2 linked regions of the Lepisosteus oculatus genome follow. Each later gene encodes a partner of the first gene's protein in a complex. Links are inferred from orthologs where the notes say so. Each region holds a gene or a part of one and is shown in the gene's direction. Other genes may lie near its edges.

Region 1 (15,546 bases):
TCAGGATCAATTCTATGCATCACCCATCAGCACAAAGAACCAGCATTTCAGTTATGACAATGGCAACCAAAGAGGGAACACTACAGTCTTCTAATGCCTGTAGATACAGTCAAATAGTAAAACCTCACAATTGCTAAACAGTATTGGAATTACCTGTCCTTTTAAACTACTGTGTGACGAATGAACTACGGCACATGGCTATTGTGTAACATACACGGGACTAATAAAACATTCAAACCTTAACCAAAAATGACAAACAGGCCAGTATCTACTCAGTTCAGCTACACATACCCACTCTCCATTTCCAGCTGTTGGTTTTTGCTGATAATGAACAGCAGATTCGGGTGCAGTGTTGACAGGGTATTGGGTGAACTGATGGTGTGGATTACAGGGGAGAGATATTTATATCAGTGTTAACAGAACTCTGTAACATGCATGCAAAGTAGTTGCACCATGTGTCTTGTATGTACACATATACACATGGATTACTTTATCCCACTGCAGCTACTGGGAAGCTATGTGTTATATACATCAATGGAAATGTGGCAGTGTGAATATGGTTAGTTATCCCACCCTCTTTTAAGAGCAGTAATTGTACAGCAGTTAGAATATGATGCAGAGATTTGTAACCTGACAATGTCAGGGAGCTTTCAAGCAGTGGTTGAATGAGACACTGAAATGGATTATCAGCACCCAATGGTTATCAAGATCAAGATGGGCCCAATGACTACCTCTCATTTATAACCTTTCCTTTTGCTCTCACTTAACCTTAACTCAAGTGTCTCCATCTGACTTTGTTGTATACTATATACTGGACTAATAACACATTCAGACCTTAACATGAAACGACAGACAGGACTTGTGTCTATTCTGTTCACCTATAAATAGGTGAGAGCAACTGACAGTTACAGGTGTCAGTAAAGTCACAGCTCAAATGGAACCAAAAATCAAACACACTTGGGACCATCTGTGTAAAATATCTTAAGCAGAGTTTCCCCTGTAGAACTCTTCAAGTTTAAGAGTATTCAGAAAATCAGCTGAACACATTAAGATCAGAAGAGACAGGTTAAGGCAAAAATGACCTACATTTAATAGTTATGGGTTTTGAAGCAATATGAACCAGTGGAACTAGGATTTAACAGCTCACTTCTAACTTTAAACAAAAAAGCAGTTGTCACAAACCTGAGCGCATGAGAATAAAGTTCACGTGCACTGGCCAAAAAGCTATTTTTCTGAGATTTTCAAAACAGACCTCAAAACAGGAACATTTCGCTCTTTTAAACAAGGCATCGTGTTTTAACAGTGTAAGTGAGATTAAACCAAACTGCCCCGTTCAAGCACTCTTGACAGTATAGAAACAAAACTCAAGTTAATTTGTCTCGCAACAGAAACAAGCATAACTGAGTTTATTTACCATGCTTCTGTTAGGCAATTACTTCCTTTGAAACTATTTAGTTTTTAGATGTCGGTGTAAACAGTCGGGTATCTACAATCGCGGTCAATAAACGGGCTTTACATTTCCCGTATAGCTCAGTAGTTAAGAAATTGAATACTAACTGCTTACTAATACATACATAATGCAACAAACAACTATTAATCTAGCTACTGTCTTCATCCACAGACCTAAACGTACCCCCTCTCCTCCCAATAGTAATGCACCTGCTGAGACAATGCTGTACTCTAAATGAATATTTCTCATTTTTATTGATACAATACAATCATATAAATCCCAAAGGCAGAATATTCAACGGATTATTGCTCTTGTCTTGCGACTCCGTGTTTAACACCATTTCCGCCTCCAGTTATTATCATATATTTGACACCCCGTGCGGCCCTGGCATAGGGAAACTTGTGTGCAATAATCCCACCCCCCACTGAAGCTTCAGCGGAGACGATAAATCTCTTCCAAGAACCATGGAAATGCATGAAACACATTCTTATGCTGAATTATAAAATCACTTTGATATTCTAATTCATTCAACCATGTTTCAGTTACAGTCGGTACAGGAATACATACGTTATGAGAACATATATTTATTTATTCTTTACCTCGTAATGCTTCATCCCCGCGATTTGAACTATTCTTCGAGCGAGAAGCTTGACCTCCGCACTACCCAATGGGAGTGCAGGAACGTTGTAGCTTTTCCAATAGAAAGCCGACAGTTGATGTTTCCGTAGCCAATCGTAGACTGGGTAAGAACAGACACTAGCCAACGAGAAGACACTGTCGGGATCACTCCAGCCAATTGGGAAACAGAAATTACCTATGGAGTGATGTTAGTTTGGCAAATTGGAATACAGATAGCTCGTTTCCTCAACGTTCAAAATCTTTCATAGGTTCTCTTGTGATGCAGGGGTTAATGCTAAAAGTAATTGTTGTTAGGTGCATTGCATTGGTGTATGGGGGGCGGAAAGTGTTCAGCATTGTACCATACAGTATCAGAGTTGGTGATCTCGTTCACGCAATGTGCAACTACACGATAGCAGATGTTTCTTCCATACTTTTCTTCGGTGTAGCCTTTGTAGATCGAATAATTCAATCCAATTGCGTCAAATCTTTAAGATCTACGTATGTTGGACCTTAGAACAACGTTCTAAGAAATGTGAATGTGGCCACTTATTAAGTACTACTCATAAAATGGTCTCTTTTTCTGAATGCAGTACTACACAGGTTTATTATAAAACATAATAAACATGTCATGGGATGCCCTTTACCTAATAAACTGCATATTAAATCTTAGTATTAACCCAAAATCCTAAGTGTTACTCAATAAGGGCTGTCCATTATCAAGATACAAGAAGCTGCCATTTTTATTGCTTTGACAATCCTGGCAAAGTTTAGGTTTAATATAGGCCAAAGATGTATGAGTTTTTTTACTTCCATTAACAGTTTTCCACCCTGTTTCGAAAATGAATTTATATATATCTTGAGGTTTTTTATTCATATTCAAACCAGACAAACTGATTTTGTGGTTATGTGGAAGCAGTGCTTTAGCAGATGTATGTATATTGTAACGCATACGGCCACCATTGCAGGTTGTGAGAGCCGGCTTACCAGAGCGGTGACGTCACTTCCCTGTGAATAGCAGGGACCGCAGCCGCCGGGCTGAAGGGAGATTTCCCTTTGGCTCAAGTGGCTGGGTCCCTGTTGAGTGATGTCAGAGGCCTGGGTTTGAGTCCCTGATGGTGGGGGGCCGGCCTGAGGCGGCAGTGGTGAGGGTGCATACCCACATGAACCCCGTAGCGTTACAATATGTAATATGTATTGTGGGCTTCGGTAAGCTGGCAGAGCTGTGCATGAGATGTGAGCATGATGAGCTATCTCTAAAATAACAATTTTGATCTCTACAATATTGATATCTAGAAATTATAAAGCATGGCTGGGCTGACAAGATAACAAGCTGCTTTAATCAAAGTAGCAGAATCATGTGCATCAACAATAGCTAAATCAGTTATATTCACTAATAGCGCAGCACATCAAAGAAACTACCAGTTTGTCATCCTCAGGAATCTTGAGACATACTGTATCCCAGGTCATTCTTATTGCTTTGGACAGGATGGGTAATTCTAATGAATATTATATTCTCAAAACATTTGGTAGAGCATTAACAAAGGAAAGCTGGAGAAGTTAAATACCAAAAACTGAATCTCTTCAGTCCTGAACAGAGAAGATTACAAAAACACTGGGTTCAAATATTCAAAATCCTCAGAGGTACTGACAACTCAGCAAAGAGAGTATTGTAGCACCCACGTGGGGCGCTTTAACGGTTGCTCCCTCCCCTTTAGCCATGAGCACAGGGTGGGCTGGGAACAGCGCCTGAGGGCCAGGACTTTTCGGTGTACTGTTCAAAGCCTTTTCCTGAGTCCTACACTTGCTCCACTCCGTACCGAACCCCGCAGTAGTTACATTGGTGTCAGCAGTGGGACGGAGTGAAGCAACACAGAGCCCTGAGCATGGACAGCGGCCTGAGCGTGAGGAGATGCCAGGGCATGCAGAAAGAGGCCCGGTGCACGGAGAGCCCCAGCGAGAGCCAGCACGAAGCCCCAGCGGAGCCCGTGGAGCAGCCTGCCTTGCGTGTGCAGCCTGGAAGGATGGTTTGGACTTGGCTCGACTCTTAGGTGGGGACAGTGTAGCGCCCACATTCACCTCCCAGTGAAGATGGCCATCCAGTCTCCACTCAAGATATTCAGAATCTACAAGCTTCTAAACAGGCAACATATGTTGAATCAACTCATCTCATCTGTAAAATGACCTGTGTTCTCATGTACAGCTTTCCTGCAATCATATCATAGAAGAAGAATTCTGAAGCCTAGATATGAGGAAACCATGTTGTGGATATATATTTTGTATCAGAGTATCTAATTCACATATTTTCTATCTCTCAAATTTAGGAATTACATAAACTGTATCTCTTTAAAAGTGGGGTAAGTTATTGCATATTGTGTCTTTCAGACCTACCTGACGATCTCCGTTGTGTTTGGGTCCTCAGTTTGGAAAGTATTTAAATGAATGAGAAATGTAGTATCCCCCTTACCCTGGGACAATCAAGAAAGTTTTTTTTTCCCCAATCCAGGTCCCAGAGAAACAGCGTGTGTGGGTTTTCATTCCAAATAATCTCTTAACAAAGAGCTGTCCTATTCTGTTTGTCTCTTTATGTAAAATCATACTATACTTTGTGAGTATGACTGCCTAAAAAGTCTACACCTCTGGACCCATAAGAAGCATTTTCACTTGAAAGCTAATTCATTGTGCATATCCATGGTGAACTCAACATCTAGAAACAAGTCTAATTTACCTGTGTAATTTTTTTAATTTAGATTGAATTTATTGTTAGTTCCAAAATATTTTTAATAATGAGAATATTTTTTTAAGTAAGAGCTGTATTTGATCACTTTTTCTTTTATGGTTTTGAAAGACAAAAAAGAGCAAATTAATGCAGAATTAGTGAGTGCTCCACACTGACAATTGCAGCAGAAGATTGAAAAAAAAAACCCTGTCAATATATTTATGATTTTTGATCATAGTGATTTGTAACTTTACATTCCTCATTTTGCAGCTGGATTAACAACTACTCACTTGTCATGAACATGAAAACTGTGGCCAAAGAAGGCATCTATGTTACTGAACATATTGATATTGGGATAAAGGGATAACAGAGTGTCTTGACTAATTGAGTTAGATTAACTTCAGTTGATTTTCTTCAGTATTTCACAGAGCCTCTAAAATGTGGAAGTGGTGCTTAGTAATTCTCACTGCTCTCTGGAAGCAGGGTGTAACAAAAATAAAACCAGCCTAAAACCAGATATTCAACTTAGGCAGGGGTTTCCAATCCTGGTCCTTGAGGCCCGCAGATCTGCCGGTTTTTAGTCCACCCAAGCTGTCAGTTACACAAGTGAACCCTTAATTGACATAGAAACAATTAATTTTTGAGGTCACCCTTTAACTACTGCATGTTTGAGGTAAAAAAAAACAACAACAACTTGCAAATGTTCCAATTAAGCAGCTTGTTAGATCTGCTTTTCAAGGGTTCAAATAAGTAAGTTCTGCTGGAATAAAAGAATCATTAGGAGTGTAGTACTCCAGGACAAGGTCTGAGAACTTCTGAGATCAAAAAGGGAAAATGGGAAACAGAAATATACATAATTAACTCACAAGAAAGGCGGCACAGTGACATAGTGATGAACCTTGCTGCCTCACAGCTTTGGGGCCTTGATTTCAATTCCGAACCTGGGTGCTCTCTTTGTAGAGTTTGTATGTTCTCCCTGTGTTCACGTGGGTTTCCTCTGGGTGCTTTGGTTTCCTCCCACAGTCCAAAAAAAAAAATTTTGGTAAATGAATTGGCTTCTGGGCAAATTGACCCTGGTGTGGATGTGTATATCTCTGTTTATGTCTCCGTGTGCTCTGTGATGGACTGGTGTCCTGTCCAGGGTGTACCCTGAGTTGCGCCTGTTGCTTGCTGAGATAGACTCCGGCCCCCCTGAGTTCATGAAATGGAAGAAAATGGATTGATGAATGAATGAAAATCCTGTAGCATTGGAAGACAAGGATTAGCCAAGATCACAGACAAGCAACATCTTAGAATCCAGGTGCCAAGATAGAACAGTCCTGCATAATGAACACATAAAAACAGATATAAAAAGGAAAAGCTATGCATTTAACATTTAATATATTCTTCATTTTTATCATGTATAATTTACTGTTGCAGATGCACTTGTAATTTTCATTTAGTTTAGTGTATATGTAAATGAAATGTTTATTTATCAAGTGAGTCTCAGAAACACACAAGCAAAAATAAGAGGAAGAGTAATAAAATGTACTTGGGTATTCTGAATTTGGAACCAAGGAATAACAGAAAATTGTCCGGTCCTTGAATGCTAAGAATATCAAATAGTTATGATATAAGATAACAATTCATTAATATTAAAACTAATTTTTAAACAAAAGCAATTCTACGTTGATAACATCAGTTTCCAAAGTGATAGATTCAATGCTACCATCTACAATGTGTGCTGGGTAGAATAGAGAGATGTGAATAAACAAGTAGAGATTATTTCCCTCCTGAAATGTTTTGGCTGTGGAGACTTCTTCACAAGGACAGAACAGAGACTTATTAAACTACAGCAGTTGCCATTTTCTTTCCTTCATAGGTTCCTCTACAATCCCTTCTGTGAAGTGATTCTTCTTTCAAGTGAGGCTAATACTCCTCCATCATCACTCTAAAACTTCATTCCCTAGGCACACATTATGCCAAGTATGCCATAGGTCCAGTATGCCAATAGTACAGTACTGTCTGACTATCCACATTGCTGCTATTAGAGACCACAGACACTGTCAATAGAAAAAAAGGACATCACTCAAAGTCACTGCTATTTTTAGGAAGTGATCTCACCTCCATGGAGATTTAAGTTTCTGTCTAACTCTTGTTCCTAGAAACTGTTGTCACATTGTTCGTTGTTGTGATGCAGATTTTAAATTGTTCCTGAGAAGATTAATTTGTAAAGGTCAGCTTTAGGCAGATGTCACCTCTTCTTCTATGGGATCTGAAAGGACTGTTGCAGGGATTGGGGTGGTAAGAATGGGCGTATTTGTTTTCATTACGTTGAGTCTGGCCTTGGTGTTTGGTCACAGCATTTCAAGTGGAATGTTATAGTCTTATCCTGAAGGGATGTCATCCCATGTTTCAATAAATAAAACTTATATCATACAACTCAGAAGGCACCAATGGAAACTACATAGACTTGTATATAAAACCAAGAGCAGGAGGCACTTTGTGACACCAACAACACACATCACAATAATAACATTACTGCCACCATGACACCTTAGTTTATACATGTTTTAAGTGCTTTGTCTTTCCTCTTTCACACCCCCGGCAGGATATAGTGTTTCTCTTTAAGGGAAAACTGCTCTGTTATTTTCCTTCTTGATTGCTTTTCATTTAGTTCTATTCAAGTCACTAGATCTTCAAGTCCACTAGAACAACCAATAACTCTTCTCATCACTAACTGTAACAGCTGATCCCATTTGGGATACTTTTCTTTAACCATCACTTGCACCCCTGACATAGCATCCAGCTTCTCACACTTCTCAATCTGTCTGCTGATGCACAGACTTTATTCAGGACACAATCTGTGCAATCCAGACTTCCTCTCAGATGCAGCCTTTCCAAGAGACACAGCAGCGGTCTTACAGGTATCAATACTTCCAGTCAGCCCTGGTTAAGCTGGCCAGCCATGTTCCTCAGCAGCAAACATCAACCCTACTGTGCTTGGCAAACTACCACATCTAACAAACACAGGACAGTGTTCTTCCCTCACTTTTGAGATTTTTGGAATAACATTACACTGCCTCCCTTACTTTTTTTATTCCTTTGGTTTGTTAATCCCTTTCTTAGTTTTCATGTAGCCTATCTGTCCAGCACCTGTAACACTCCTCAGTACAATTTCAAACATCACCAATTAAGCGACATTAAGGCAACCCAATCAGATATGAAAGAGAACTCTCTCTGAATGCTAATTACTCTATCAGACCAGGTGTGCCTCATTCCATAATTTCCCTCCCCAATTAAAAGATGGCTGTCTCACAAAGTCACCTGTCACTACCTCACACAATTCTTTGCCAAAAGGATTCTGAGTATGGAACTACCAAGCCATCTTATTGAAACTGATACAATTTATTTCAGAGGTTCTTAACCTGTGGTGCACAGACCTAATGGGGGTGAGCAACATACCAGATTTTTTAGTAGGTAAATCATCACAAGCACAAATTAAGTACAACTAACTTTGTCTAATCAAACCTACTGTAGGTATTTAAAGGTACTATAAACTTAAAATTATCCTTGAAGACATGCTGTTTTCAGGCCTGTAGATCTTCCCAATTCACTTTATAAACAACTACAGTATGTATAACTTTTTCTAAAAAAGTTTTTGTTTTTTATTTCAGCTCTTAATCAATTGGACAGGTAAGAGATTACCATTAACCTGGTACGATACTCATTTCCTATTAACATTTAAATAACCTTGTAAGTCAACTTGAAGTCCAGTCCATGCAAAAATCAAAGTATAAGATGAGACAAGCTCATTCAGACCATGTTGCTGTTTTGGTTGTCAGAGTAAAGAAAATTCTCATTAAACTGATATTGAAAAGATTGACACTAACTATATAATTATTACAATCCCATGGCACTCTTCGTATGAAAAGGGGATGTTAACTCTGGCAATTCTGCTCTGGAATACGATTTTTTTATGAAAGCAAGAATTCAATTAAATGCAGGCATTGTTGTTTATGTAACATCATCAGTGGACACGCATTATATAAAAATGTATATTAAATGCAAGCAATATTTGTTTTTTACGTGTGGCTTTCGCTCAAAAAGAAGTCACAGAACTATGTTTACGAGGGATGTGTTGAGAACTAGCTGATCAAATGGGGGCGTGGTCTTGAAAGGTTTGTCCGTCCGTGGCGTTGTAGAGGAGGGCGTTGCTGCCTACGCAACGACACTCTGACGTATGACGGGGGTGTGTGCTGGAAGGCAGTATGAGGAAGCATCTTGATGGCGGGGGAGAGTTCTGGAAGTTTCTGCTGTGTTATAAATACTGAAAGCAGGCAGAACCAGCGTTCTGCAGCTTGAGAGAAAGTCGTAGAGAGCTGGTTGCGCTTTATTTTGTTAAGGGTATTGCGTCGTTGGTGTACGTAATACAGGTGTCTGTATATATGACATTGAGATTGCGACTTTTTGTTTATCCTGCGTGGATCTGTAAAAGGAACTACAGTAGGAAACCTTTAGCTGATTCGCGTGACTGCTGTTTGTTCACTGTGACGACGTCGTGACCTTTTGCTTAAAGAGCAACTTGTGTGATTTTCCTCTTGTCGTCTTGTGAGTGTAATTGATCACCGGGGCTGTAATGGGTAAAGATTATTATAAGGTGCTGGGAATCCAGAAGGGAGCCTCGGAGGACGAGATCAAGAAGGCATACCGCAAGCAGGCATTGCGCTACCACCCGGACAAGAACAAGTCTTCGGATGCCGAGGAGAAATTCAAAGAGATCGCGGAGGCCTATGACGTTTTGAGCGACCCCAAGAAAAAAGACATCTACGACAAATTCGGGGAGGACGGTAAGATAACACTTAATTAAAAATAAACTCCACAACAGCAGCATTTCGGCAAGTTTAGGACTAGCAGTGAGATTCCGGGTGTCCCGTTACCTCCATGGAGGACCTCCCACTTCTGAAAACGTTTGACTCCTTGTGATGCCCAGAAAAGCGTTTCTATTAAGATGCCATGGGGAGAGAGCTGTTCCTTAAAGCTCAGTCGCATCAAGCGGATTTGCTGGGTGAATTGCGTTGCATTTTGCAGTCGGTGTTTAGATTTAAAGTCCTTGTGCGTGTGTTGAAAGTGTGCCCGACTCTCCCAGCCTACCGGCATGTTCTGGCAACTTCTGGGTGTGTGTGGCAGCTGATAGAGCCCAAAACCGAAACTAAAGACGTATGATCGACCAGTGCGCTTTCGAAAGTGCTAAGGTGCAGTTTCAGTTAGTGATGGTACTGTTTAACCTTTCTCGTAGTATCATACAGCTGACACGGGCAATCCAATACTGACCGATTGACCCCTGCAGGTAATCGGGTTCGATCTTAACTAGGTGCCGCGCTGGACAGGATACCGCTGTGGACTGTGGAGGCCTGGGGCTACAACGCGCAATCTATTACATTTTGTTGCTTTAAAATATCGATCCCCCTTTTCATATGCCTGTTAAAGGTGGGAAGGCACCACATTTTCTCCGTCTTATGCCCCCTTATTGTCAGACTTTAAACTTGCTGTAGAGTAAGAAATGCAAGTTTTGCTCGGAATCTGGAAAAATGACTGCTTGTTGAGTGTTGGTGAGAAAGGCCCCTTCAAAGTGTGAAGTTGTATTATTTATTTTTTTAAGAAATGCAAACATTCTTGAGCACTGCCGTGTTTCTCTGATGCTTTTCAGTGTAGGGTAGAATATTAAAATGTTGCCTACGTCGTGAGATGTTTTGTGGATCGAGTTTTGCACAACAGCCGATTGGAATCATTAATCGTGAGTCTTGTAATGTTTGTACATTAACCCTTATCTGCCTTAATAATGGCGTTTAAATATGAAAGCATAAAATACAGATTCGTTTAGCATTAACCCGTGTTGGAGGGATCAGAAACCATAACTTCTCGTTAAGGATGATCAGTTAGGGAAGAGAGAACTTAACCTTGTCTCGCTTTGACCAGTCTCGTTTACTTATTTCCGAAACAAGAATTTAAGTCCTAGTCAAAAAATGTTTTAGCCGCTTGAGTAGATATAGAGGTGAGGGTTCCATAGAAAAACAGTTTTCTTTTGTAAGTCAGCTATTCGTGTTATAGACTGATTTGTGGTTGTACTGTAGTTTTGCCATAGTCAGCGGGTAAATGTTAAGTTACGTAAATTTATTAATGTCATTGAATATCTAATACTTTACTTTCGCTGTGTTCTGGCGACCCGGGTGCGCTCAGCCGCTGATTGGCTCAGTACATGCCTCGCGTGCCTTCTGGAAGTTTCTCGCCTGGTCCTGTCTGGGGCTGTTAGAGGCTTACTCTGAGCTTCTGTCGGGATTATACAAGGGCAGGTTTGCAGCAGGGCTTCAGGTGCGCTTTGAACTAAACAACCGTCGCTGGATTTGAGGGCAGAAAGAACTTTTCTTTTAATTGGTGTCCCTGTTCTTGTAGAGTTATCTGATTATTTTACTTATAATTGTTTAACCCTAAACGACACTTTGAGAGGCCACATTTCTGTTGTGATGTTTCAATTTTAAGTGATATGGGCATTAAAGAACAGATAAGAAAGCAGTATTTACAGAATGCCTTCTCAGAGTACCTTGAGTACCATGTACCCTTCATGTACATAAGGTCAAGATGTGCTAAAATAGTCCGAAATAGGCAGAAATCAAGTAATGATTTGTTATACCAGAAACAATTTTCAACAATTTCACTGTTCTTCATACCTCATAATCCTGTGTGAAATAAAATATCCATCTTTTGAATGTCTTTGGTTCTTTAATCAGAAATTCAGTTGCTGCTCAATGGTGCAGCTCTCTTCAGGACAGTGCAGAAAGGCTTGATTTTTCTGACCTGTGCGTAATGTTTTGTGCCTTTTCCCCCCACTCAGGTCTGAAGGGGAACGCTGGAGGTGGCGGACCAAATGGCACAAATTTTAACTACACATTCCATGGGGACCCCCATGCCATGTTCGCAGAGTTCTTTGGGGGTCACAGCCCTTTTGATTCCTTCTTCAGTCGCAACGGGGGTGATGAGGATATGGACATCGATGACCCCTTTGCGGGATTTGGCATGGGGGGGTTCTCCAGGGGCTTCACACGCATGGGGATGGGGGGACGTGGGTCCCGGGATGGCATCGTGAAAAAGCAGGACCCCCCTGTAGTGCATGACCTGAAGGTGACCCTGGAAGAGGTCCTCACAGGCTGCACCAAGAAGATGAAGATCTCCCACAAGAGGCTGAACCCTGATGGACGTACCACCCACACAGAGGACAAGATCCTCACTGTGGAGATCAAGCGTGGCTGGAAAGAAGGCACCAAGATCACCTTCCCCAAGGAGGGTGACGAAACGCCTACCAACATCCCGGCAGACATTGTCTTTGTGGTGAAGGACAAGCCCCACCCAGTGTTCAAGAGAGAGGGGTCTGACATCATCTACCCAGCCAAAGTCACACTCAGGGAGGTATGTGAAAGACAGTGGTGCTAAAGTTGGACAGAATGCTTAATAAAGAAACTTAAGGGCTGTCGAATGGTTTGACTTTTCCTAGCTCAGTCTAACCGGATTTACCAATTTTTGCATACTTGTTAAATCCAAATTACTTGCTTACCAACATATAGATTGCATAACATTTGGAGGCTTAGAGCATGTTTTCTTCATCCTTGTGTGGTCTTTTTCAACTGGTACATTGCTCATTTGTCTTATCTTGCATTAAACTTTTTTTGTACATTTTCATTTATGAGGTATAAGAGTAGCTTATTTATATCACTCTATCCATTGTAGTACTTAACTTGCTTGTGACATTCATATTGCCTGGTATTGTGATTTTGTTTTTTGGAAGTCATCTTAAAAAGAGTTCTCTGAATGCTAGTGGTAATTCTTAGGCTTATTAATTTAACTAGAACAAGTAGAAAAGCACTCGAGGAACTTGAGGCATTGGTTTCTAAATGAAACTTATAGGTTGTAGGTTGTTTTTGTATGACATGACCTTTACCAATCATCTTATTCCTCCCATGCCCAGGCTCTCTGTGGATGCACTGTGAATGCCCCCACATTGGATGGCAGGACCATTCCTGTTACCTTCAGAGACATTATCAAGCCCGGAATGCAGCAGCGCATCACAGGGGAAGGCCTGCCATTACCCAAGTGCCCAGAAAAGCGTGGAGATCTGATCCTGCAGTTCGAGGTGAAATTCCCGGATCGGATTCCACTGCACACCAGGGACGCTTTAAGTCAGGTGCTTCCTCCATGAGAGCTTGTCCCAGGGAGCTGTGTTGCCAGAGGTGCTGTTGGAAAGTGCTGCTTGAAACGCTGACCGGCGACAGCCAAGTCTGCACTTTGTTATTCAGGAAAAAAAAACAAAACAAGATGTGTAGTTTTGTATATCTGTTCAAATTTCGTTTTCTCATTAATGTTGCCTCATCATCTACCACTTCAAGCACTGCCATCACTGAAATCTGTGCAATGCTAAAAGAAACTACAGGACTTCATCTTACCTCCTGGAGAGAGGCAGTGATTACTGTGAGATGGGAGAGGTTTAATTGTAAGGGCTTCGCTGTATTAGCTTCTGAAAGTTGAAGGTGATGGAGCCTTTTTGGGTCTGTTTTACCTGAGCAAAATGACTATTAATATGACTTCCTTTTACATGAAGTAGTTTACTACAAAGGTTTCTATCATACATTAACAAAGTGGCTCTTGTTTTCTCATAGATTAACTGATTCATCTTCCATGCCACTCAATAGTGAAGATTGAAAATTAATTAATTGATGGGGTGGGTAGGTATTAGAGCATCTAAAACTCAAAGTGCTCTCTTGGGCTTTGAATTACAATTTGTAATACACTCTGTGCAGAAATAGTTAATAAAGTGTCCTTTTGCTAGAAGAGTACAAGAATCATTCAGTAGACTGAATGTCCTTGTCATGGGCTCGAAGCAATGTTCCATTGCCTGAATCGGTACTTCAGAGCTAAGAGCAGCATGTTTCCTGTCTGTGATAACATTTACTAAATAAATGAGTTAAACCTTTGCGAGATGTCTGCAGATGTACTTTACAACAATAAGAGCAAATTGGATTTTGTGGCCCATTTGTTTTTATTATTGTTGTGTGAAGGCAGATGAAATATGATGCTTCTCTTCTATAGATGTAATATGCCTGGTTATACAGTAGCTTTAAAAAATTAAAGTAATCACCTGACAAAATAGAAATACATTTTATGATCATTCTAGGGGTATAGGATAAATACAGTACGGTGAGGGTAGATTTCAACAGTTTTGATTTTCTCTTTCAGTGTGGTAAAACCAGGACTGAAGGTAAATATTCACTGTTTATTCCAGCTTGCATAAGCTGTACATAAGCACCATATGTATTTTTATTTGTATGTTATATTTAGTTACACTTAGCACTGGTTTAAATGTTTCAGGTTACCAACAGTTGTACTAAGAGTACACTAAAGTACTCCAAATATGCTTAAAACCATTCTGGTCAATATGCTTGCTGTATGTTTTAGTGAGAATCTTTAGGTTTTTTTTCTGGATTAGGAAAAAAAATCAAAATGCACTTCTGGGTTCTTGCTCTGTTTAAGAACCTGGTTACAGAAAATAAATTCTGGAGAAGACTTGCAGTGTAAGTATAAACAGGGCATAAGATGTGTGAATGTTTAAAGGTTTGAGAGTAGTTCTCTGACCATATGCTCGAACAAGGAGAGAAAGGTTGCTAAAGTCAAAACTGCAAGCAGCCATATCACCCTGCAATTCACAACTGGTAACCCACTGAAGTTAAGCAGGTGTGAGCCTGGTCAGTACCTGGATGAGAGACCTCCTGGGAAAAACTAAGGTTGCTGCTGGAAGAGGTGTTAGTGGGGCCAGCAGGGGGCGCTCACCCTGCGGCTCATGTGGGTCCTAATGCCCCAGTATAGTGACATCCTTCGGATGACGCGTAAAACCGAGGTCCTGACTCTCTGTGGTCATTAAAAATCCCAGGGCATTTCTCGAAAAGAGTAGGGGTGTAACCCCGGCGTCCTGGCCAAACTTCCCATTGGCCCTTACCAATCATGGCCTCCTAATAATCCCCATTTATGAATTGGCTTCATTACTCTGCTCTCCTCCCCACTGATAGCTGATGTGTGGTGAGCGTTCTGGCGCACTATGGCTGCCGTCGCATCATCCTGGTGGATGCTGCACATTGGTGGTGGAGGGGAGTCCCCATTACCTGTAAAGCGCTTTGAGTGGAGTGTCCAGAAAAGCGCTATATAAGTGTAAGCAATTATTATTATTATTATTATTATTATTATTATTATTAAAAACTGTTTTAGTTTCTGATTGAAACTCAACTAAAACCTTTTCTTATGATGATTTCATTATGTTCTCTTGTGGAATGCAAATTTTAAGTTGGAGGTGTTCTATTCCAGCTGTGAAGTGCCTCAAGATCTTGTTTCTTATTCCAGGTTAAGCTCTCTGTAGATTCCTGTGATCACTAGATTCCATGCTGGATGTTTGTACAGTCTAAGGAAAGCACTTGATAAGAGGTACTAGATCTGTAAATTGGGTTGTTTCCTGGAGAAAAGTGTTAATTTATCTGATTAAAAAACTAGACCAGTGAATCTGCTGAGCTTCAATGTGGGGTAAGAAAAAGACATGTAACTCACCTCCTTATGAGTCTGAGTTTGATACCCCTTGCTGGTGGGGAAGGACTTTACTTTTTGCAGGTGTCATAGCTGCTTTCAATTGTAAATTGTCAATATCAAGCTTAACTCTTTCTCCCTTTGTGGGAGTCATGGGACTAAA
Region 2 (15,744 bases), about 14 Mb from region 1:
AAGTAGTTCAGGTGGGCAGCTGTGTCAGCATGCGTAGTCTGCAAAGGAACAAGTAATAGGTTTATTCCATGCTGAAAAGAGAAGAGAGAAAACACGTTTCGGCCGTGAAGCCTTCTTCAGATGTAAGACCTCACAGCTGAAGAAAGCTTCACAGCCGAAGCGTCGTTTTCTCTTGTGTTTTATTTTAAAATGCGCCTTTCCAAACCCAAGGGCGCTGTACATTGTGTGTGTGTGGGGGGGGGATACAATACAAAGTTAAAAACAATGAAACAAGATATAGGCTCGAGTGAAAAGGTGAGTTTAAACCAGCAAAATAAGTGTCAAGGACCTAAGTTTGTCTGGAAGAGGCGGTGGAAGAGCACGGTCACCATAAGTCCGAGATTTAGTCCCCGATCCAGTGATCAAAGGACGGGCCTCAGCTGACGATCCTACAGGAGAGCGTGTAAACATGGAGCAGTTCAGAGACATGGGAGGGAGGCGGGTTATTAAGAGCTTTAAGGGTCACTAACCAGATCTTATATTGAATACGTGACTTTACTGGCAACCCCTGTAGAGACTCACGTGTAGGAGTGACGTGCTGCCAGGGTCTGGTGTGGGTTACAAGTCCAGCTGTAGGGTGTTGGACACATTGGAATTGACTGAGGAGAGTGTGAGGGAGCCCATAGAGTAAAGAGCTGCAGAAATCAAGCCTTGGTCTTATAAATGCATGTATGAATCGAGCATTCAGCATCGAGCACTGATAAAAAAAAAACTGCCTATATTACTGTAGCACTGAAGTGTAAATTGGTTTATTGTTATTTGATGACGATTTAAGGGAGAGCAGCGCATATTGAACCGCCGCCCTGTCTGTCCGGGGGAAGGTTACCGTTGTTTACTTGGACTCTCGGATCTTAGCAATGTATCGTTTTTATTGGAGGTAATAAAACCTTGTTTCACTGACGTAGCCCATCATGTATTAATTACGCTGGCCCTGTAACGTATTTTTTTTTTGCTCAGATGGGCCGATGGGCAGTGGCGTCAGCGTGTGTACGCTACAGAGGGAACGAGTCAAACTTAATTCCCCGCATATTTCTAAAAACTCTCTCCCGCACACGCACACACCTGAAGAATTCTCGACAGCCCAAACGCCGCGTTTCGTCTTTCAACTTTTTACTTCTTCCTTTGCTGCCCAGATACACCGCATGACAGATGAATGTTATCTAAGAGATGGAGAAGTCTTTCCCCAGCTCAAATCCCGCTCTACATTCTGTTTTTCTCCCCCAAACCCCCCGCACTTGGAGCTCCGACGGTGACGGCAAGGAATCGCACACAAACGCCCGCCTTACAGAGGGAGGAGAAGGAGCGTACCTGAACCTGCTCCTTAACCTGCGTGTCATTGACCTCTGCTTTACTGCGCGGAACACCGGGGCAGAGGACTTCCTGTCACCAGGCGACAAGCACAAGGAACCGGTATCTACGGGCCCAGCCCCGCGCCTTGCTTGGTTGCGGTGGTATTGCCCAAGAGCCGTCTCTGGCAATGGGCCTCTCCCATCACCCTCAAAGTCAACAGTACAAATCATCATACTCGCCAGAAATAGTCTATACCGCGATATTTCTAAAAAAAATCATCTGTTTTGGTGGCATTGTTGAACCAAAACCTTCCGGATACTGAACGGCGGGGTGTGAAATCGCGTCACCACCCTTGATTTATTCGAAACGACCGTTCACGGCGGAAATTGAATTCCTCGACAGGTAGAGAGAGGTTGTTCAGATAAGTCATCGCATTTTTCTTTCGGGCTCATTCAAATTTCGCTTTAGTCCAGATTTTGTATGGTTCTCCAATCCGACTCTTTTGAATCGGCCGTGTTCACTTTTTTTTTTTTGCCGCTATAAAAAGACAAAGGGGTATCAACACATTTTTATTAAACACGTTTTTCATGACGTGTTACAGAAACTTTTTTTAAAAAATATATAATTTATTCACATACACTCATGCACACGGATTTTTTACGGACGTGTTAAAGGAGTTTTTTAAAAAAAAAAACATAAAATAGTGATTCGGATCAATAAAGTGACGTTTTTCTCCAAGAAGATTCTGTTAAGCCAACAAAACCAGGTTTGCCCTTTCAGCTGAAAGATCTATATCTAAATCATAACATCGAAAGCTTGGCACAGCGTATGAGAGATACGCCAAATTCACACACCGAAATGATCGAGTAGTGAGTCCCCTCTGTAATACAGCCAGGCTGTTCCTCTCAAACGATTTTCTGCGTATCGTCGCCGTTTGAAACTCGCAAGGCGAGAATGTCTCTTTGCTCACTTCGCATGATTTTAGCGGACCTTTTTGCCCAAGTTTTAGACCATAACATGACAGTTTTAATAGCAGGACATGACGTGCGTGTTCCCAGGTAGAGTGCACCAAGCTCTCTGTAACACTGTCCCCTCAAATCAGCGGCTCCGCGACGGGTGTTGTTGAGTTTAAGCAACCTGAGCTCCTGTATCCTCGTTTATCTGGCGAAAAGCATTTCGGCGAGTAGTTCTAAGAGGTCCGCCTGGCCGATGACAGGTCTGAAAAAGAGCTCGGTGATGAGGCTCGGCGTGATGGTCTTGAGCGCGGAGGCGGTGAGGAGGATGCGGGCGAAGCGGCCGCGGTCTCCCGGGTGGAGAGGGAGCAGCACCTCGCGAAGAGCTCTCTGGGCCTCCTGCTGCATGCTCTCGATGAACAGAGACGCTTTCAAGCCCGGGACATCTGAAAAAAATAACCGAATTGAAGGCGTTTTTAAACGTCTACACGCAGTCAGCCTTAATTCGAATTATGGGGTTGCAAAACTGTGCTGGTTAGATACCACCGAGAACGCACTAATCTCTCTCCCGAAGCGGGGGAAAACCAATCAACTCTATTAAGTGTTTCTCCTAACTACTACACGTATGAAACAGAAGGGTTTACATGTGTAGTTTATCCTTTTGCGACCAAGTAATGGCAAATGATGCCAACACCCGTTACGGACGTGTGCTGTAATACCCACAGTGTCAGCAGTTTGAAAATGTGGTACAAACCCCTTCATAACAGACTTTCCCCGCTGGGGGCTGCCTGACGAATTGTGTTCAGGAAACGGTGGCCTTTTTGACAGCTTGGAAACAACGACTTCAAACGCGTTGGTCCGATTCTTGCGAAGTAATTCTGTGCCACTTTACCATACTCATTTTTTATTTCCTATTTTAACTTTCCCCCCTTCAAGAGAAATTAGCTAATTCTGCACTTTATCCCAGTGGACAAGTAATGAATGTGGCTTGTAGACCTAATTAGGTAGAATTTCCTTTTTGGGGGGGGGGAAATGGGACTCTTTTGGGCAGAAGATTTATAGTAGTAAACGAAGGATGAAACTTTGGGCCAATGTCCATCAATGTGTAATTTTCGAAACAGCCTTTTCTTAAGCCATGTCAACAAGCTATTTTGTCCGTTAAAAGACATTAATAAGCAGGACATTCATCCACTCATACATTCCAATTAAAATACTTAGTGTGGATTCCTTACTAACTAATCCATCTACCAACAATTATGTGAGAAAACTATTCGGGAATTGACACTTATTACTTTATTTAACCCGTTGGTACAAGAAGATCAATAAGCACGGTGATAATAATTCGCTAGTATACTTACCGGGGTTAAAAAGAATCGCTCCTTTCAAATAGGCGTATTCTTTTGGACTCATATCCAGGCTCCAGAACTTATTGACGCAAGACTTCAGCTTCTGTACGGCGTCCAGCGTGGGCTGCGCCCTGTCCGAGTGCTCCAGCCGGGTTTGGTCCTGGTCCTGGTCCTTGAGCAGGATTCTCTTCAGCAAACTGGCGGCCGGCGTGTCCGTCACGTCGAAGGCCACCCCTTCCTGCGCCAGCCCCAGGATGAACAGCGGCGCCCAGCCGCTCTGCAGCAGAGCCAGCTGGTCCTTGAGTGGGAGCTGGTAGAAGGAAGGCAGGTTCTTCATGAAGTGGATCGTTTTGACCAGCACGCCGGAAGCTACCTGGCACGTCTCGTCCGGGTTCTTGAGGCCAACAGTCCGCCGCATCTCGCAGTGGCAGCTGTGCGGAGACGTGATGTAGCTGTGGGCGAGGTGGTCGCTGTCCTTGCGGCTCAGAATATTGTAAAGGATGGCGTTGGACTGCCGAACACTGAAGCCGGAACACTGGCATCTGTCGCTGGGCTCTTCGAGGCAAGACATCGTTTACTTAATCTTTTCAACTAAACGAGGCTTAAAAGAATTTGGTACGGTGAACGCGCAGGTAGCCTGTAAATCGCCCTTGCGCGCTGTACCACTTGGCCGCGCAGCTACTTAAATGCTTTGGATCAGAAAAGCTCTGTCCGCCGTGCGTACGCCTGTCTCCAGCTCTGCTGTCCCAGACCTATTTATAGAGGCTTCCCCCTAAGGTACAGCAAGCCAGCCTTGACCCTAGCTGAATAACATTTGCTCACTGAAAAACAACATGACCCTGGACTGCTTGGCTCAGGTAGGTTCGCTCCACGTGGAGAAGATAAGGTTTTCTCAATGAAGATCGGCGGGTTGATGGTACAAGGCGACGTTGGGGTGGTTGGGAGTAGGTCACTTATCTTATTTACTTCAGCCATTAACCCAGCCTGTACCAAGCTACCAAGGACTGTGGGAGTAATCAAGCAGACAGTATATGGCCACTATCGCTGCCAGCTAACACCTAATGAGCTGGAAGCCAGCCAGTACAAACAGTTAAGATATTATGCATGTAAAGAGCTGTCTGATGCGTCCTTGAGTAGTATATCGCCTCTCGCAGATGCGAAATTATTCATTTCAAACCCTTTTCGGCAACCTTAAAAGGTGCTGAATACGAACTTAAAACTGGAACTGTTTTCCTCCGAGTATAAAATACGGAGCGATAGAGATTTTGGTTTCAAGAATAGGAGACGTCACATCCATTGACTTCAACCCAAGGGGATAGGTAGACGTTTTGAAGAGCTACAATGCATAAGTGATACTGTTGAAAATGCAAGATATTCGTGATGTACAGAAAAATCAATAGGAAAAAGAATCACCCTGAAATGGATAGATGGATTACTTCTGAAAGCTTAACAACATGTAAGAAATTTATAAGGATTTATAATTGTATAATAGAACACCAAACGACGTGTTTTGTAGGAAAAACAGGAAATTCTGAAGTGAAAATTCTAAATATAGTTTGTTATGAGAATAATTATATTAGGTTAATAATAATGCTATACTATATAATATTCGGTACTGACAACTCCCCCGTTTTAATCTGATAAAATACATTATTTTTATTCATCTTGTTAAATTTAAAATAAGCTTGTACCTCCATCCCTGTTCAATGCAAGTCATTCTGTGAACAGCATATATCAACACATTCAGTACAATATATGTGTGAAATAAACTGTTCAGAACCTTGGTATAGGCAGTCCAGTATACAAACCACAAAGGGCATTGATTACTAATAGACTTGTATTTTGCAGATATTATATCTGGGTCAGGAATAGACACTGAACTGAAGGTCATTTGTATTTTTCAACTGCTTAACTAATCAGCAGAAATTAAGGTTGCGTCATCATTTCCCTTGACTGAGTCTGAGACCTCACATTTTCTTTTTTGACACTCATAAATGGTGAATTATTCTGTTTCAACTAGTCCAAGCAATTTGTTTTTCTAAAAACTCGTACCTTTATACACTAAGGAGTTTTAAGGAGTGTTGTATTAATAATCACACTTGACTGGTGTGATGTACTAACCAGCGGAGCGTCTTTTTCAAAATGAAAGAGAAGTACAGCACAATTCTTACATAGCAGTTGAATTTTAGATTTTCCTTGGTGTGAAACGTCTTGGTGAATGGGTTTCACTTGAAAGAACCACTGTTAGATTTTTGTTCAGAGAAACGGGCTTATTGTAAGATGTACTGTAAGGTTACTAGATTACAGCCAGATTACTTGTTTCTAATTGAAGAACTAAGACAGCACGTTCAGATGATTTTTCTTGTCTGAAAAACATGGCACATTGGCCTGCTTACTATTTTCTCTTAGTGTGGGATCTTTCTTTCTTTTTGTATATTCTTTTTCTTTTGTATTTTAAAAATGAAAACTCCATTAAAAAAACTGCATCAAGGTTGAGTGTGAAGCAGTTATTGAAGTAGTTCAGGTGGGCAGCTGCGTCACCATGCGTAGGCTGCAAAGGAACAAGTGATAGGTTTATTCCACGCTGAAAAGAGAAGAAAGAAAACACAACGTTGCAACTGTGGAGCCTCACTTGGGTGTGACACTCGAAGAAGGCTCCACAGCCGAAACGTTGTGTTTTCTTTCTTCTCTTTTCAGCATAGTTATTAATGCAATTACATTATGCACATTTTGGGCATAAAATCATTGCTGTCTTCGGAACGTTTTAGGAGGTTCAGTTGGTGAAGAGTGAGACCAACAGAAATAAAGAATTATTCTCTTGTCCCCTCCCTTGGTTTTCCAACAATGCTGCACCTGTGGATTAACGCACAACTCCTGGCGCCAATTCTCCTGCTGGGCACTCCTGACTGAATGCCATTCATAATCAGATTACCATTTCCTGATGGTATAGTCAATAAAAGTGAGCTAATGCAAACAGCCATCATCCCAGAAGGAAGGCTCTGAATCAGAGACAAAGCAGTAAAGTATCCCTTTTTTAATCTCAGTCGTGCCTAGCACAGAGCTCTTCTCCTGATAAGGCAATTGATTTATTGGGGAGGAACAAAACTCAGGAATTGCAGCAACATAGTGGCCTTTCACCAGTGTTCCATTCCATCTGGGAAAATGCAGATATGTTGTTCTGAAAACCAAAACATTTAAAAAAGGATATTTAAATTCACTTGCTAACATTCGTGTACATTGATTTTACTGTAATTACTTTGTTCTCTGTATCCTGATGTTGTCCAACTACAGCACATTAAATACAGCACATTTTTTAATACAGCATATTAAAAAAAACACAAGAACTCATTACCACGGTCATTGTTTCTTAGAGTCACTTTTTACTTTTGGGGAACAAAAATACATTTATTTTTCTGACATTGGTCACACGCAATGATATTATTTTTAGGAGCATTAACTAACTCTCCAATACTACAGCTATTAATATGTACAGTATATCTGGTGAAGATTTCATTCCAACCTTAACCAGCATATCTTTCTTTTACCAAGACAGAATAAACTAACATGTCATCAAGAAAAAACACCTGTACATTTACAGTAGAATATGAAGTGGGCAACTACAGAATGCATCACAGTAGCTTACCATTAGGTCCATTGTTTTTTGTTGCATACGTCTCTGATATCTTGAAGATTAATGGATTGAATATCAATATGTGACAAAATCAGCTACTGCATAGGGAAGTAGTCATCTTGGATGGAGACGAGAGGCTCTTGTCATAAAATTGTTTTCTATATTTTATTAAATATGAAGTTATTTGGTAGTTCTATTAACTCAATGTGAGTATATTATTGCTGATGTAGTGACTCTATTTATGCCTTTACCTAGAATAATAATTTTAAGCTAATGTGGCTATGTTATCAGGTACATTAAGAAGTTTTAGGAGGCACATATCACAAATGTCCATTGGTGGAAAGCAGGCAATTGAACAGAATGCTTTCTAACTTTAAGCCTGCCTGATTTGTGCTAAATATAGCATGGACTTTGACCAGTGCTTCATACAAAACAGGTGGGAGAAATCAATGAAGCCAACCTCAGTGCAGAAAGCACACAGACCTGTTTACCAAGTGACATCCAGGTTATCACAGGACTCTGCACACTGACTGGATTAACTGTGCAACATACCGTCGGAATAAACAGGTCTGTCTCACTGTCAGCTGACTGGTAAGTAGTGCCAGGACAATGCACTGAAAACATCAGCACTGCAAACTTCACAGGACAAGCCTCCTTTCATCTAGATCATCGAATCGCTAAATTACAGTCCCACAACAAGCTATACTCTATATATTATGCCTCTCCCATGAATATTTTTTAGGACAGAGAGTAATCAGAGATATGTTTTACAGTATGTAATATGTAATCAGTATTACAAGACATTAAAAGACATATTTCAGTAAAACTTGCATAACCATTAGAAAATGTAGTTAACAACAACAATTATTTCCTGGGCTTCTACAGAGTATTCACATCCATAATTGACGAGGTGTGTCAACATATTTGACCAACCTCAATTCCTCATATTTAAGCTGCTTCACCTTTCTTTATCACTTCCAGGCACGTTTCTTAGTACTGGAAACAGCATTTTCAAGCAGAAACAACATACTGAAACCACTTCTTCCAGTTGAGGATCACAGGGGGGAGCAGGAGTCTATCCCAGCAATCAAAGAGCTCAAGGCAGGATACACCCTGGACAGGATGCAGTCCATCACAAGATAGACACACAGACACACTCACACCAGGGCCAGTTTTCCTACAGTTAACCTACCAGTACGTTTTTTGGACTGTGAGAGGAAACTCATAAGAACATCAGGAGAACACATAATAAACTCCACACAGAAAGAACTCCAGGCCCAGAATTGAATTCAGGGCTCCAACACTGCAAGAGAGCAATGCTAGTCTCTGTGCCACCCATGACTTAGTAACTTGTATGTAATATTCAGGTAGTAGTATGGAGTAGCAGTGCTCTGGACTGTAAACCAGAGTGTTATGGGTACTGCTTCCAGGTTGGATGTTGCTGTTGTAACTTTGAGCAAGGTACTTCACTCAGCACACTGCAATAAATGCCCTCTAAAATGGGTCATCATTATAAATGGTCATTTGTTCTCAAATGTGATCACCTGTTCTTTGGGTAGGACTGGTCAGGAATCTGGACTTAACCACTGCAAGGCTGTGAGTTCAAATCTCAGGTGAGGCTCTGCTGATGTTCCCTTGAGCAAGTTGTTTCTACGGTATTGTTCCACTAACATACCCAACCATACAGATGAAAATCTGTAAGTGTTAGCCAAATAAATGACTACTTCGCAACTGACTGAATTTATAAAAAAAACAGAAAGTCAACACTTTATATAGGCCTGTGTATGTTTTCTACATTCCTTAAAAAATGTCTAAAATCTCTCAAAGTTCATTATATTCTTTTTACTTATTAGAATTTTGAAGCGTGATATGCATACTCCAACCTGCTAGATTAATTTAAATTTATTTCCAATTTAACAGAGTATAATTGGAAAAGGGGAGTTGCTGCAAAATACTGTACTAGCTGTTGGCAAATGTTGGCAAGCAGATCTCCTTATGCTAAAGACATGAAGTCGAAGACGGTGAATTCACTATTAATTTTGCGGTATCTTATAATACTGCAAACCGTTTGTCAAAACGAACCAAAGTCTAGACATACTTTGAAAAGGTAGCATAATATCATCTTTATTACATTAAATGCTTACATTATAGCATGACAATGGTGCCACTCTACACTTCCCCTAGAGCCACAAACACTGCATTTTCTTTCACCTTCCAGAACATTCCTTACTCTAACCGCGACTCTGTTCCTAGTCGGCGCGATTTAACAGTCGGAACGCTCTGAACCAGCCCTCTCGGCGACACTGCTGATAGTTGATTGGTTCACAGGACCTGTCAGTTATAAATAAAACATTCGATTGGGTGAGAGTTGATTTTCCTTTTTTTTGGTTGTAACGGAGGCGGTGCTTGTTTCCAGGAAGTCAATGGTTGCAGGGCTGCGGGGAGCGTGACAAGACATTCATTGAGTTTGCGACTGTTGCTGTAACAAACGTTCTTCAAATTAAAATTTATTTATTAGATAAGCCATGGCAGAAGAAGATGAGAGGTTTGACGGTATGCTGTTGGCTATGGCTCAACAGCATGACGGTGGAGTGCAGGAGGTAATACATAATAACAAACTCGTGGATGTTACATTTTTATGGGGGATGGGGAACTGCTCTCAAAAACGCTTAAAGAATTTCCGTTGCAGTCCCTTTCTCTAATTGCTGTATGGTCAAACATTATCTGCAATTTCGTAAGCTATTATAAAGCTTTGAGTAAATAAGTAAAGTAAAACGGTTTATTAGTCTTGGGAATCGTTTTATTGCGCTGGGTTTCAGTGGGTTTATTTGAAAGTAACCTATGTTCTTTATCTTTAAAATATTATACAGAATACAGGAGAAAATAAACCTTCCCGTGTGTATCTTCACCCGTAATTGGACAAACATAAGTTATCAGCATTTCCATTTATTGGCCTTTTGTATCCGTACTCCCTAATATTCTGATGTAGCCTAATCTCCGACCATATAAATATATTACCTGTCACTGAAATAGGGGCTGAAACTAAATGTTGGTGCCAATTGCAAAAAAAAAAACAATACAGGGAGATGGATAAAAAGTTTAGCGCAGTGCTCTGAAGCCCATATATAAAGTCGGTTCATAGCGTTGTGTGGAAAGGCAAGACATTTCTTCATCTTTTCTTACAGGCCTTGTTCTTGATTTAAAAAAATCCTGCTCTTTGCCGATTTGTGTTCGCACTCAGTAGAACAAAGAACTGCCATTAGCAGCACAATCTGCAGCCCGCACACCACACACGTTAAAATACAATGAATAAGATCAAAACTAACACTGAAAAGGTATCTTATAGCACTACACAAGAAAGGCTAGAAACCTTACAAATGAAAGGGCTATTCAGCTCATTAAACTCCTAATAATATATAGTATTAGATTAGTGAAATACATTCATTTTAAATGCATGAATGCATGTTACCATTCATATCTTGAATTAACAAATGTATATGCAGGTTACTTTTAGTTAATCTAAAAAGAAGAAGGGATTTTTGGAATTGGTCTGGCATTTTAAAACTGAAAGCATGCTGGAGGAGTTGCATAGCAGCACAGTGTTAACTTGAGCAATACCTCCTTCCATTATTTATCTTCCCAGCACAGATGTCTTGAACCTGTCAAATCACTTTTGTTTCGTTTGTGGTTTTGTATGAGGATGGATGCTGTGAATGGTGTTGATGTGAAAGCCAGTGTAGATTGAAACCTTGAATTCCAATGGCAGAGTTGAACGGTGTAATTTATGTACTGTAAATACCATCATGCCATAATGGGTTAATTATTTGCGTTCTATATTTTGTAGCTGGTGAACACATTCTTCAGCTTTCTGAGGCGCAAAACAGACTTTTTCACAGGCGGGGAACCAGGGGCACCAGAGAAGGTAATAATCTTCTGATTTTTATTCAGGTGATCCTGTGCACGTGATCACATTACTCCTGTCCTGGTGTCCTTGCCCTTGCATCTTTGCCTTCATCTCTTGTCACATGCTTGAGATCTCGGGGAGAATCAGGATCTGGGACACAGTCTTTTATGTTTCATTTGAGTTACTTGTAGGATAATTTCAAGAAAGTGTTTTAAAGCAAAGATGGGTTTGGCCAGTGGGCTGTCATCTGTTTCACTCCTGTTCCACACTTGTGTTTATGCAGCTGAAGAGAGGTGGAATTAGTCTGGTTTTTAGTCTTCCAATTTACTTTTAGAATTATCAGAGTATGTTTTTGGATTTGGAATGATCCAAAAACATTCGTAGGTTTTTGATACTAATGATGAATGTAATTATGAATTAACATGCTGCTTTTTTTTCCAAATATGACTCTTCATAAATATGCAGGCCTTCTTATTATTACTATTTTTTTAAATCACTTCTGTATGGAAGGTCCAGGACAGGGTCATGCTCCTGTCCTTGCTGTTTTGCAGTTCATAGCTTCTCCCAGTTGGCAAGCTCATTTGTTTGTCTCTGCTGAAGTAGTACAAAGTCTGGTTTGTTGACCTCAATATCTTCCTGTTACTGCACAGTGTGAAAGTGTCCAAAAAATACTTCAGGGGTCAGACATTGTGATGCAAGGGAAGGCTCAGGGATGAAAACATGTTTTTCCAGGATCTGCTGAGAGCTGCACATTGAACTGTTGCCTTGTATCTGTAAATCAGGCATCAGACAGTGGGTTATTTTAACAGGTATACAGTTATACCCCAATAAATATTTTTACCCCAATAAATTGACCTTACTGGGTAGGAATTCTGTTTCTGCACTCTGCAATTGTAGTTCAGAATCTGAGACAGCTGTTTCTCCCTCAGCAGCCAGAAACCAGTAGCATTTTATTGTATTGAAGTTTTATTGATAGATACTAGTGATAAGACATAATTATGAATTCACAACAAATGTAATAAATCATTTTACATTTTTTGCTGATTTTTTTTCTGAAGAGCACAATGTATTCCTCGTTATTCTGACTTCCACTAGATTTCTACAAGTTTCACAGATTTAATTGCCAATACAGCCTAATTTGAGTTAGAATAAATCAACCTTGAAATCTAATTATCTTTAATATGTGTTGATCAATTAGTTACTAAGTACCAAATGTACTACAGGAGCCCCCTGTTATTTCTAACATGTTCTAATGAATATTCAAAAGGTTTAGTTACAACTATTGAGTAGTAAATATTAAGCGTTGAAGTAGCTAATCCACAGAAGTTATTTGCCACGGAAGTCTGTCTGCCTCATTGTCAGATTCTCCCTAGAGCATTATTTGCTCCTCTGTACACGTCACTAATGCTAAAAAGTTGTTTTTTTATACTTACTGTACAGATCTAACTGTTAGCTTAAAACAACATGGCTCCATGTTCAGTAGAAGATAGCCAAGACATCGTGATTCTCCATATAAGAGGAAAAACACGGTAAAAGCAATAGCATATTGCTGAATGTTTACGATTTTTTCACAGAAGTGCACTGTATATATTTTGTGAGTCATCGCAGAAACACACGAAATCTCTACTGAAATGTATTAAAATCCGACAAATACTGTTCATTCAACTATTAATTTATGGTGATCTTAATGCTTCTTGTTATATTTATACCTTGGGACCTTTGCTGGGGTATATTTGAAATGAGAAAAATGCAGTTTTTGCATGGGTTAGTATAGTTAGTATAAAGGGCATCACTGTCATCGCTTTTTGGCCATGTCTGACCTCAGTTGGCAAACACAGTAAGCCTTGACCGAAGTTCCCTTCCTCTCTCCCCTCCCCATCCCCCGGCTAGCTGGTGAAGGAGGCCTTTGCACATCACAATCAGCTGGCGCAGAAGGCTCAGCGGGAAAAACGCGCAAAGCAGGAGAAGGAGCGACGGGAGAAGGCAGAGAGAGCTGCCAGGCTGGCAGAGGAGGAGGAGGAGGGGAAGGAGAAGAAGACCGGAGAACAGAACGAGCCAAAGATCAAGGAGCTGACGGACGAGGAGGCGGCACAGCTGCAGTCGGAGATCGACCAGGTGAATGACCCTGATCTGCAGGAAGATGGCAGTGCACACAGAGCCAGATACAGAAGATGGTATAACACCGAACAGTAAGACACTTTTGTGCAAGAAAGCACTTGGATGGGTGTGCAGATGCATCAGGTATCCATTTATTCCCTTCAGTTCTGTATGCCTACTGTGTATCTTTACAAAATGGTTTGAATTTAAGTAATTCAGTACAGGAGTAGAGATCAAGCATGCATACTAAGAAAATATTTCTTGCTTAAACTCCCACAATCTCCCACAGTCTAGATGATGACCTAAAACATATGCCGTCCCACTTCTTCCCTTCATGAAGGGTGAACGTCTCTGAATTCATTTTTGTTTTTCATTTTATACCTAACCATTCTGCTAGTTGTGTGATGTTGTTCAGGGAACCTCCAGTCAGGGTCAGCTAGTGACACTAGCACATTAGTCCCAGAGACCGCTAGTGACCCAGGCTTGAACTTGTGTTGTCTGGTTCATGGAGCTGAACCAGCACACTGGGTGAGCACATGTACAGTATATCCAAGCTTCTGTTCTCTTTGTTTCCAGCACAGTGCTGTCCATTCATAAATGGCATCTCTTGTTTCTCATTACAAGAAAAAAGAAGAGGCAAAAAAGCAGGAAAGTGCTCCCAAGAATGACGCAGAGAACTCATCTGACAAAGTGGAGGACAAAGGGGTAAGATCAGTCAGTGTGCCTTGACTGTCTTGTAATACTTAAGCCTCAATTAACTTGTTTAAAATTGTCAAATAAAACTAAATTAAGGATAGGGTTGGGAAGAAAGCACAAGATAGGAATGATTGCGAATGCTGAAGCTGTGAAAAGGGTCGCTCATCCAAATGTTTTTTTCATAATAAAGAAAATGCTTTTTTTTTTCTTCTTTCCAGTCTGACTCAGAAGGCGAGGAAGACGAGAAGGACAAAGGAAAGCTGAAGCCTAACTCTGGCAATGGAGCTGATCTGCCCAACTACAGGTGGACACAGACCCTTTCAGAAGTGGATGTGAGTGGATGTATTGAAGCATCGAGCCCTGCTTTGCATATTACACACTCTTTCATCGTGAGGAAAACTCAGCAGACCATTTGTACGAATATGCCACGCAGCTAAGCACCTTACCGGTGCTTTGGATTTTTAATTCCTTGAATTTACATAGTGATTTTCATTCCACTGGATCTCAAAACATGTTACAAATAGGATGGGCACATTCAATCCTCCTGTGAAGTGCAGGCAGCACCCATCTGGATGTCACACGGTAGTTATTATGCAAAGTGAATGATTGATTTTCTAATTCAGTTAAGAGGAGAGTTTAGGGAGGTCACTCTGATTTAACAATCCTACTCATTCTAACAGTGCCTTGGGCTCTTCAATGATATGTGAGCCAGGAACCTGATTAAACATTATCCACAAGGCTTTCTTGCCTACAGTACGGTGTTCTCTTTCAGCTTACTGGGGCATTGTTTGAAAATTGTTCACTTAAAGCACCAAGCTTGGTTTTCTTGGAGTTCTCCTGTTCTATTAGTGAGTAGGCAAAGCCTTATATAGCTTCTGATATTTGATGAGATAATCATACATGGGACAATGCTACAGTTATGGATTGTAATAGAATAGTCTGTGAGCTGATGAATAAAGCTGATCTAAATATGCAAAAATTACTGTGCCATTATTTATAATCATAATAAAAGTAGTGGTGGTGATGTCAATGAAGGTCTTCCAAATTCTTGGGCTCTAAGTTATATATGGCATAAACTGTTTTTTTTAATCTAGCCAAACAGCCTCCCTTTTCATGCATTTTACTTGTTCCCTTCTGCTGTAAATAAGCGTCATTTTATCAATGTATGCTCTCTTTTATTAACCCCCAGCTCCTAGTGCCATTTGATGTTAAGTTCCGCCTGAAGGGGAAGGATTTGGTAGTGGACATCCAGAGGCGGCACCTCAAGGTGGGCCTGAAGGGGCATCCGCTGGTGATTGACGCAGACTTGTACAATGAGGTGAAGGTGGAGGAGAGCTCCTGGCTCATCGAGGACGGGAAGATTGTCACTGTCCATCTGGAGAAGGTAGGGAGCGAGACCTGCAGCGCTGGTAGCCTCCACTCACACACACCCTACAGCGTGATCTCATTGCTGACTAGCCTGCCTTCTGAAAGGTGGGAGAGAGAGTTTGTTGAATGCTTCATCCTCTGTAGACCTAACTGTAATTGCTCTTCCAGTGATAATCTGCAGACTGTAGTGTTGCTCTCTGCATGTCAGGTTTATAAAACTGGTATGTATGTATACAGGTATTAGTGCAGATAGTTCTGAATTGTGATTTCTGCCTTCTTTCAGATTTGTTTCTCATGACTTCTGATAGAATCTCTTGTATACGCTGTTCTGTGTTGCGTACACGAAAAACAGAAATCCTTCACTCATTTCCTTTTTGAAATGTTACCCAGTGACTGTCATTTTCTTAGTAACACTGCATG

Evidence for each region.
Region 2: the proteins of dnaJ homolog subfamily B member 1 (region 1) and nudc are in contact, whole or in part, in a crystal structure (PDB 7NDX), measured with the Homo sapiens proteins. The link is inferred for Lepisosteus oculatus from reciprocal best matches to the Homo sapiens genes DNAJB1 and NUDC. Residues at the interface, in NP_006136.1 of Homo sapiens: His166, Lys181, Lys182, Met183, Lys184, Ile185, Ser186, Asp201, Lys202, Ile203, Ile235, Phe237; in NP_006591.1 of Homo sapiens: Pro102, Gln103, Ile104, Lys105, Glu106, Leu107, Ala112, Leu115, Gln116, Ile119.

What each region holds. Positions count from the first base shown.
Region 1 is NC_090706.1:21,689,075-21,704,620, reverse strand, and holds the start of dnaJ homolog subfamily B member 1, read left to right. Parts: upstream 1-9,020; 5' UTR 9,021-9,405; coding exon 9,406-9,616; intron 9,617-11,658; coding exon 11,659-12,230; intron 12,231-12,786; coding exon 12,787-13,017; 3' UTR 13,018-15,546. UniProt on the Homo sapiens protein: Interacts with HSP70 and can stimulate its ATPase activity. Stimulates the association between HSC70 and HIP. Negatively regulates heat shock-induced HSF1 transcriptional activity during the attenuation and recovery phase period of the heat shock response.
Region 2 is NC_090706.1:7,313,399-7,329,142, reverse strand, and holds the start of nudc (nuclear migration protein nudC), read left to right. Parts: upstream 1-9,664; 5' UTR 9,665-9,784; coding exon 9,785-9,859; intron 9,860-11,103; coding exon 11,104-11,181; intron 11,182-13,053; coding exon 13,054-13,278; intron 13,279-13,884; coding exon 13,885-13,965; intron 13,966-14,174; coding exon 14,175-14,288; intron 14,289-15,145; coding exon 15,146-15,340; intron 15,341-15,744. Other genes in the region: nuclear receptor subfamily 0 group B member 2, read right to left, coding at 2,487-2,728, 3,641-4,199. UniProt on the Homo sapiens protein: Plays a role in neurogenesis and neuronal migration. Necessary for correct formation of mitotic spindles and chromosome separation during mitosis. Necessary for cytokinesis and cell proliferation.